Linked DNA regions of Arabidopsis thaliana. The protein of the gene in region 1 interacts with the protein of each later gene in a pairwise test. Each region holds a gene or a part of one and is shown on either strand. Other genes may lie near its edges.

Region 1 (4,374 bases):
TCGAATTTGTTTTTGATGTGTAGATTCAAAGTTTTGAAGCTGATATCTTAGTACCTCAACTAACATCTCAAGAAGGTGGGCCAGAGACATACAGGGGAGTGTTCATACGTGCTCCAGCTGTTCTTGATGTAGGTCCTGATGTCGAAGTCCTGGCGGATTATCCCGTCCCATCAAACAAGGTCTTGTATTCAAGCTCCACCGTACAAATTCAAGAGGTTTGCTTAATTTTGCACTAATTTTCATGAAACGATTACTCTTTTGTGAGCACATGTATGAATCCCTTCTTGTTGGTTTCATTTTTTGGGGATAAATCAGGAAGATGCTCTTCCTGAAACAAAAGTCATTGTTGCTGTGAAGCAAGGAAACTTGTTAGCAACTGCTTTTCATCCCGAGCTTACTGCAGACACTCGATGGTAATTGATTAACATTTTCCCCGATCTTTTGATATTTGCAGCAATGATCTATATGGTCTGTTTTTACTCTTTCCGGTTTCATTTTTTTTGCAGGCACAGTTATTTCATAAAGATGACGAAAGAGATTGAGCAAGGAGCTTCTTCAAGCAGTAGTAAGACTATTGTATCTGTTGGAGAAACAAGTGCTGGTCCCGAGCCAGCTAAGCCTGATCTTCCTATATTTCAATAACTGAACAGAGAGAAGATACACACTTCTTAAAATAAAAACCAGAGAAAGTGTCAGATTCTTTATCTTTCTAAAGATGTTTTGGAAAAATTGCAAGCTAGTTTGCAATTTGCACTCAAGAAAGTTTCACAAGACTCTTTAATGGATTCATGTACTTGTTTCTTGATACAACTTTATATATACAGTTGAATCTCAAACTTTTTTGCTGATTCAATTTGGTCTATGTCTTGTGAAATGTGAAAGGTCGTTTGGCCAAGAATTAAGCTTTAGATAACTGTCAGCGTTTATAGGCAGAACAGAACATGCTCTGAAAGTATAACTCGGTAGGGTTTTGGTTCAATGGTTTAGAAGCTAACCCGGTTTATAGTAAACCAGTCAGCTGACTTTGACGCGTTTGACTTTTCATTGCTTTCTCGAAAGGGTGCAATCTTGTAGTAGTGGGCGGCTTTGGGCCAATGAAAGTCAAGAAAAGTTACTTAAAATGCACACATTTACAGATATGTTAAGACATGAGGGCTTTCTTCTTCATTTAAGGCATCCTCACGTTCTAGATACTCGTTTCCTTGCACATAAAGCCATCAAGAATTAATTTTGTTTTTCTTCAGAAAATAGAGAAAATTTTCAAATTTGTATATATAGTGTATAGAAAGATATACAGACCGGATTTTTCAAATTTATTGTATCGATAACCAAAATTTTCACCCTTTTTTATTATTTTTTGTCAACTAAATGAATACTAACTTCACCCTGTTTTCTCATAGTAAATTGCTAATATAATTCAACTGGGAACAAATGAAGCAAGTATGAATATGATTTGATCATGAGGCATTAAGAACTAGGTAAAAATTTGTGAACTGATATTATATGTATGGTTGTGTTTAAATTAAACAACTCTTTTCTAGCTAAAAGACTTGATGTTGAAGCTTCATCAAGCTAGATTTTTGTTAAGAAATCAATGGAGACGACTTGAGATGAACTCAAAGAGTCGGCTTCTTTCTTAAGATGAAGCAAGGGATATTATCATATGGGGTTTTAATAAGTCAACTCAATTCTTTGCCCATTCTATATAATCCCTTCTTCTGCAACAACATCTCATCACACCAAAAAACACAGAAACATTTTGAGAAACCAAAGAAGAAGAAGAAGAAGAAGAACAAGCAGAAGCTAAAGAAGAAGACTTGAACTTGAGAGATGGAGCGCAGACAGTCATATGTGCTTGTCGCGCTCATTGGATTGCTTCTCTTGACAGATATTGTCATTGCACAGAGCGATGGCGGCAAAGGCAACGGTAACAATGGCAAGGGGAACGAGGTACAAGTAGACAAGGGTAAAGGAGATAATGGCAAAAGTAACGGTAACGGTCCAAAGGATAAAGAACAGGAGAAGAAGGACAAGGAGAAGGCAGCCAAGGACAAGAAGGAGAAGGAGAAAAAGGATAAGGAGGAAAAGGAGAAGAAGGATAAGGAAAGGAAGGAAAAGGAGAAGAAGGATAAACTGGAAAAGGAAAAGAAGGATAAGGAAAGGAAGGAGAAGGAGAGGAAGGAGAAAGAGAGAAAGGCGAAGGAGAAGAAAGACAAAGAGGAGAGTGAAGCAGCTGCGAGATACAGAATATTATCACCGTTGCCTACAGGACAAGAGCAGGCCATGTGCCAAGGTCGGGGATCATGTTACTACAAGACTCTTGTTTGCCCTGGTGAGTGTCCCAAGAGGAAGCCCACGAAGAACAAGAACACCAAAGGTTGCTTCATTGACTGCACTAACAAATGTGAAGCTACCTGCAAATGTAAGTACATTCTATTCAATTGGTCTCCTTTGTTCTATATTCAGTTAGCTTATCGCACAAGTAACAAGAATATAGATTTCAGTTGTGGATTGATAATTTGTGGTACAATGAATTTGTTTACTTATAACCCAAGTAACTTGGCTTAATTTCGGGTTCCTCTTTCTTTCAGGGAGAAAAACGAACTGCAATGGTTACGGATCTCTGTGCTACGACCCTCGATTTGTGGGAGGAGACGGTGTGATGTTCTATTTCCACGGATCCAAAGGAGGAAACTTTGCGATTGTTTCAGACAACAATCTCCAAATTAACGCTCACTTCATCGGTACAAGACCCGTTGGGAGAACCAGAGACTTCACATGGGTTCAGGCCCTAAATGTCATGTTCGAAAACCACAAGCTCGTGATCACAGCCAACAGAGTGAATCAATGGGATGAAACATCTGACGCCTTTACCATCAGATATGATGGAGAACTCATCACACTCCCTGAAGACGAACAATCAGAATGGAGGGAAATTTCAGGACAAAAGAAGGATATCATCATCGAAAGAACTGATGAGAGAAACAGCGTAAGAGTACTTGTCTCTGATCTTGTTCAGATGGACATCAGAGTGAGACCTATAGGGAAAGAAGAGAACAGAGTTCACAACTATCAGTTGCCGCAGGATGACGCTTTTGCCCATCTCGAGACTCAGTTCAAGTTCTTAGACCTAAGTGAGCTCGTCGAGGGTGTTTTGGGGAAAACCTACCGTCCTGATTACGTCAGCTCTGCCAAGACTGGAGTCCCAATGCCTGTATTGGGAGGAGAAGACAAATACCAAACGCCTTCTCTGTTCTCGCCGACTTGCAGACTGTGCAGGTTCAAGCCTCAAGAAGAATCACTTTCTGCTGATATCTAATGAGAAGAAGGAGAAAGATGGAAACTTCTTTGATTTTTAAATAAATTCATGGAAATTTCGTGTTTGTAACTGTTTTGTTTCTGGAAATATTTTATATTCATAAAAAGTGATGTAATAAAAGCCAAAAAGATAACATTTGGCCTGTTTGTGATGTTTTTGAGGGTTTAAGAAATGTAAAACATTTCTTGTGCAAGAAGCAACCCCTTGATTTCTTATCGTTCCTTTGCTGTATTTTGTGTACCTATCCGTTTATCGAACAATAAAAAAAAAAAAAACTATATTTGTGTGTATATTCATGTATTTGAATCTGAAATTAAGTTTCTTGGTTCCAGTATTTTGTATATTCTTCACTTTGAAAGCAAGTGTTTTTTTGGGGGTTCTCACGAACAACTGGAGATGCTTCGAGAGCACTCTTTTCACTAAAACTTATAAACCAGTAGGAAAAATCAGATTTAAATAATCAAATAAGTTGGTGCATAAAGAAAAGGTTTCCAATTTTCTAGGCATAGTTCATGTGATCCAAGGAAATTAAACTATGTTACTCATCACATGAGTACATGGCTTCAATACCATCTAATCATATTTCTATTGAGTATATGGAATTAATATATAAATGTCAACTCCACAATGATGATTAGTTAGTGCAACCACTCGTAGTTTTGAATTGTTTTCTAATCATGAATACAATGCATAGATCCGTTATCGATGGTTGTCATTAGCTTTTCATCCTTTAATTGTGTGAAACCATTATTTACAACAAGGAGAGATAAATGTGGAAACAAATTCGTGAAAAAGATGAACTGCACATTTGTATATATTTAATTCAATGATGTCCTTAGATTAACAAGCAGGAAATGTTAACATATATAGTTAATTTTTTTTTGTAAAATTGTTACAGCCGACCTTTGGTTAATGATTTATATTACAATTTACTCTATTTTCTATCGGCTGACTTTTCCCTGTTAGAAATGCAGATTTTCAATTTTTGTTAATTATTCATGTCAAGAACTTAATATTTGAAGCTAGTGGTGGTTCTCCCAAAGAATTTAATAAAC
Region 2 (5,302 bases), on another chromosome or scaffold:
GAATACTCTTGTTCTCCGGCACTAACTACACGTGTGCTAGTAACGCCGTCGTTTTGAGTCCCGGTGATTTGAACTATCCCTCGTTCGCGGTCAACCTCGTTAATGGCGCGAATTTGAAAACGGTGAGATATAAGAGGACTGTGACTAACGTTGGGTCACCGACTTGTGAGTATATGGTGCACGTTGAGGAACCAAAAGGTGTGAAGGTGAGAGTTGAACCAAAGGTGCTCAAGTTCCAGAAGGCCAGAGAGAGGTTGAGTTATACGGTGACGTATGATGCAGAAGCTTCGAGAAATTCGTCTTCGTCTTCCTTTGGAGTTTTGGTTTGGATATGTGACAAATACAACGTCAGAAGCCCAATCGCCGTGACGTGGGAATAAATTTCGCATCTATTGATTGCCATTTTCATATTTATTATATACCAAAGAAACTTATTGAACAAAAGCTTACCCTAAACTTGTAAGAATTTGTCAATAAATCAAAACATCTCTTATTTACTATAATTTTTTTACATGAATTTTCCTTCTCTGTTGCAAGACCAGTCTACAGTATATAAAAAGCTGTTACAAGAGATCATAGCATTCGCTTGTCACAGATACCCTTCAACTTAATATATAAAAAGCTGATTAAGTCGTAAAACAACGATTTCTTGGTAGATATGAGTCTATGTAGTCATGATTATTACAAATATAAAAACAAATCCAATGCATAACAATAAAACAACGCAAAAGAAGATTCTGCTTGATCTTCTTTCCTGTCCTATAAAGAGTTGTTGCTAGATGAAGAACTAGAGAGAAAAAGATTCAGTTTTAATTTTCCACCTATAAATTGTTCAAAACATAAACAACAATAAACCCAAATGACAACGCAGATCCAGAAGACCCCCATGTAGAAAGCAAGTGAGTTCCAAGAATATGGCGAGGAAAGAAACTTACAATTAAAGGGAAGAACAGAGCCTTATCTTTAGCCACTCTTGACCCGTTCGAGTTCTTCTTCAGCTGTTTTTAACTGCAAACGCAATGTGTGTACTTTCCTCTCCAGCTCCTCTACATTGCTCCTGCTAGTGGTAGGATGGTACGGCGTCAAGAACTTATGTGAAAACGCCTTTAAGGCTTCAACCCCTGTCACCTGTGATCCAAACATCCACAACAAGTGTAAATCTCAGGATGTATATTATATAAGGCTTTAGTTTCATTTTCGTCTTGATCATGTTCCTTCTCATCTATATTGAATGTCATGCGTTCTTACCTCTTCCGGAAGCAGAGGAAGCTTTGTGATATTAAAGTCATCGTATAGCATATAAAACTGATCAAGATACTTCTGTTGCATCCGCATCCTTGCTCTGAGCAACTTGGACTCCACATCTACAGAAGACAAGTGTAGATAATTCGTCAAATTTGTATGTAAAACAAGTTCAAAACGAGAAGATAGACACGACAGCAAATAAATAGGCACCTTCGTCGTCGTATAGTACTTGGTTGATGATAATGTTATGCGTGTCAATCTCAAACTTGGCGAGTTCCTGAACAAGTCTCTCTGTTTCATAGAGAGACAAGAACTCGGGGATGCAGACACAAACGAACGTAGTCATATCCTACGTAATGGAGCCAAATGTGTCAATTTCTTATCTTAAAATGCAGAGTTTGTTAGATATGTATCAGAATTTTCACTAATGCAAATGAATGCTGTCAAACCGTATGCTACAGAACAATGTGAAGAATCTAAAACTAAACTTCACGAACAGAGTTAAGAAAACAGTCAATGAGTACTGAAAATAGCAAAGAACTTAAACAATTGAAAAAATGTTACCGGGTCTTTGAATTGCCGATTTACTTGCTCAATCACATCTTTCAAGCCCTCAAGTCTTCCCAGCAAAGCATCCTCTCCGAACTCATCCTCCATGCCAAACATACGGCTCATCTGCATTACCAATCAGTTCCATGAAAAATCAGCCAAAGAAGAAACCAAAGAGCAATATCTGTTGCCAAGCAAACTGAATTTGACAAGCTTAAAGACATGCCTGAGTCATCAAGCCACCAAATCTACTCTTCAATGACATCAACTTCGAAAGTCCCTTTTCTAGTGTGGCCGGAAACTGTAACAGGCGGAGAGTATGTCCAGTAGGAGCAGTGTCAAACACAATAGTAGCATAATCCATTGTTTGCACCAACCTAAGGAAACATAAACATATCAAAATTTGACTGTGATAATACATGGATAAAGGCAGATGATTACTAGAAGAACTAAATGGCTATTTACTTCAACATCTCAGCAAAACTCATAGCCTCATCGATTCCAGGAATCGCATTTGCCAAATCAGAGAATAAACCATCCATCCCGTCTGTACCAGCCATGTCATCAGTTTCAACGGTAGGATCTACCTCCTGAGAAAAGCAAACAAGATTCACTCACTATCAAGAGGGAAGGAGTGTGAATCGTAACCATTTGCTTATAGTATGTGTATATATATACATATACACACAGACACAACTAAGAGCTTCAAGCTTAGAAGAGTAGCCATAAAGTCATCATCAAGCCTGTCTATTAGAGGCGACCCAGAACCACAAAAAACAACTTTTTTTTTTTTTTTTGAATTTGGCATAACTAGCCATGAATTTTAACTACAATAGACAAAAATTCGATTTGATTTGGGGACATCAAATCTTCTTCACAATCCCCTTCCGTATCAAGAATACAAATTGGCGTCCAAATTCCAAACCTAATCCCCAAAATCAGAGTGGGCATATGATAAGAAAGGCACAAATCAACCGTATTTATGCAAGTACTAAATCTGACTTCAAAATCAAAATTGATCCATCAATCTGCGGTTTGAAATTCGTGAATCAGAGAACCCTAATTCCCAATGAGATTAAAATCCAGGAGCGAAACTACCAAATTCCCTCTAAAATCTAGCACGATCTAGAACAAAATCGGAGAAAGCTTACCATGGCAAAGAGATTAGAGAAACCTTGAACCAAAGTGGGAGATTTAGTGAAGCGTTGCTGAAAGGCATCACTAAGATTGTGAGCAGGATCGGTGGAGATGATGAGAACGGAGGATCGAACACTGGCGAGACAAATTGCGAGAATTGAACTGCATGTCGTCTTCCCAACACCTCCTTTACCTCCGACGAAAACCCATTTAAGAGACTCTTGGTCCAGAATGTTCTGTACTGTCGCCTCCGGCAAATCCGCCGCCATTGCTAATTCCTTGCTCGTCTCTCTTCCACTAGTCTCAATCTAAAGAGCTCCTTGTTAGATATTTGGCGTACGGAAGAGTTTAACTGCGGCGAGAGACTTTTAACGCCGCCCGGTTCAATATTTTGGTTCTCGGTTTTGGGATATCACAGCAGTCTTGGTTTGATTTTTTTGGTTATCGTTTTTCACTTGTTCAATTTTTCTTTTTTTGTTAAAAATTTAAATTTGGTGTGTTTAAGTTCATAAACGCTAAATAAGCCCATACAAAAGCCCACATAGATGAAGCCATTACGACAGCGTATTGTGAGTTACGATTGAAAACCCCTCTCTACTCGGTTAAACCCGTCGCCGGCATATTGATCTTCGCCGGAGGATATGGCGATTTCAGAAGAAGAAGCCAAACTCGAAAGGTTCCTAGATTGGCTTCAGGTTAGATCCGGATTAAGTGTTGTTTTTCAGTCCTGATCTGCTGCTCTATATCATGGCATTTTGTGTTTCGATCTAATTTCATTCAGGTGAATGGAGGTGAATTAAGAGGCTGCAACATCAAATATTCTGACTCCCTAAAAGGATTTGGCATATTCGCTTCCACCTCCACTCAAGCTTCCGATGGTATAGTATTGTTCTTACCATTTCTTGCTGGGTTTTTTTCCGGGGAATATGTATGGAAAGTTGATATTGAATTCTGATTCAGCTCTGGAAATTTTCAGAAGTTTTGCTTGTTGTTCCGCTTGATCTGGCCATTACCCCTATGAGAGTTCTTCAGGACCCTCTCCTGGGCCCTGAGTGTCAGAAAATGTTCGAACAAGGACAAGTTGATGACCGCTTTCTCATGATTCTGTTCCTCACTTTGGAGCGTCTTCGTATCAATTCTTCTTGGAAGCCGTAAGTTTTTTTTTTAATCTCTTAGCACACATTTACGTAAGCTTAAGGGTATTCATCTGTCTAGAAATGATATGATAGGTATCTTGATATGCTTCCTACTCGATTTGGCAATCCTCTTTGGTTTTCTGATGATGACATCCTTGAGCTAAAAGGGACTAACTTGTATCACGCAACCGAGTTACAGGTCTCAATCTTGATCATTTATTCCTGTCTTATCATATCGTCCTTAAAATAGCAACCACATTTTCTCTTTTCATTTATTAAACCCAATAACCATCGTGTATTCATTCTCAGAAGAAGAAGTTGCTCTCGCTTTACCATGACAAGGTGGAGGTCCTGGTGACAAAGCTTCTTATTTTGGATGGCGATTCCGAAAGGTTGACATATTTACACTACTTTTAGACCAAATTATTGTTCATTGATAATCATATTTTGTTTTCTCTCTTCGTGCAGCAAGGTCTCCTTTGAACACTTCCTCTGGTATGTTTGGTACTGGTGTTATTCCTTGTTAGTAGAACCAGACTTTTGTGTCTTGTAAAGGGCTGCTTAGTGATCTTGCGACTTTTTTCAATTATGCCAGGGCAAACTCTGTATTCTGGAGTCGCGCCTTGAATATTCCTCTTCCACATTCTTTCGTGTTTCCACAAAGCCAAGATGATACCGGGGAATGCACATCAACAAGTGAGTCCCCTGAAACGGCTCCAGTTAATTCTAATGAGGAAAAAGGCAAGTCATTAACGTCGGTCTGCTGAATTCTGTGTGAAATGCCTCTTTTTTAATTATTATTATTCTATCATGTAACGACAATTTCATGGGTTTCTTCATTTTCTGATGGGTAGAAATTCAGGCTCAACCTGCGCCATCTGTAGGATCCGGAGATACAATATGGGTTGAGGGGCTTGTTCCTGGCATTGACTTTTGCAACCATGGTATGCCAATCTTTGTTTCAAAAAGACTCTATTATCAGTTTCTCCGTTCCATAATGTTGATATGGTTAATGAGTATATCCCAGTGTGATGTGATATAATGACCTATGGTTATGGCAGTATAGATTTGAAGCCTGTGGCGACTTGGGAAGTTGATGGGATCGGATCAGTATCTAGGGTTCCTTTCTCCATGTACCTTCTCTCTGGTTGGCCAAATATTTGTTTGTGTTACCTCTCAGCTTTCTACAATTTTTCAATCAAACAATACAGAACATTCTTTTTCCTCTCTTCTTT

What was found.
Region 2: the proteins of AT5G60530 (region 1) and AT1G01910 interact in a two-hybrid assay, tested with the Arabidopsis thaliana proteins (one large-scale study listed by BioGRID).

The regions. Positions count from the first base shown.
Region 1 is NC_003076.8:24,333,142-24,337,515, reverse strand, and holds AT5G60530 (late embryogenesis abundant protein-related / LEA protein-like protein), read left to right. Parts: upstream 1-1,657; 5' UTR 1,658-1,830; coding exon 1,831-2,422; intron 2,423-2,591; coding exon 2,592-3,319; 3' UTR 3,320-3,609; downstream 3,610-4,374. Other genes in the region: PDX2 (pyridoxine biosynthesis 2), read left to right, coding at 24-215, 316-413, 507-642.
Region 2 is NC_003070.9:312,632-317,933, forward strand, and holds AT1G01910 (P-loop containing nucleoside triphosphate hydrolases superfamily protein), read right to left. Parts: upstream 3,460-5,302; 5' UTR 3,201-3,459; coding exon 2,946-3,200; intron 2,385-2,945; coding exon 2,260-2,384; intron 2,172-2,259; coding exon 2,021-2,171; intron 1,921-2,020; coding exon 1,810-1,920; exon of another isoform or gene 1,595-1,809; coding exon 1,456-1,594; intron 1,365-1,455; coding exon 1,249-1,364; coding exon of another isoform or gene 1,241-1,248; intron 1,129-1,240; coding exon 964-1,128; 3' UTR 523-963; downstream 1-522. Other genes in the region: SBTI1.1 (subtilase family protein), read left to right, coding at 1-380; AT1G01920 (SET domain-containing protein), read left to right, coding at 3,573-3,626, 3,713-3,809, 3,908-4,082, 4,161-4,266, 4,377-4,459, 4,536-4,562, 4,663-4,825, 4,930-5,011 and 1 more. UniProt on the Arabidopsis thaliana protein: ATPase required for the post-translational delivery of tail-anchored (TA) proteins to the endoplasmic reticulum. Recognizes and selectively binds the transmembrane domain of TA proteins in the cytosol.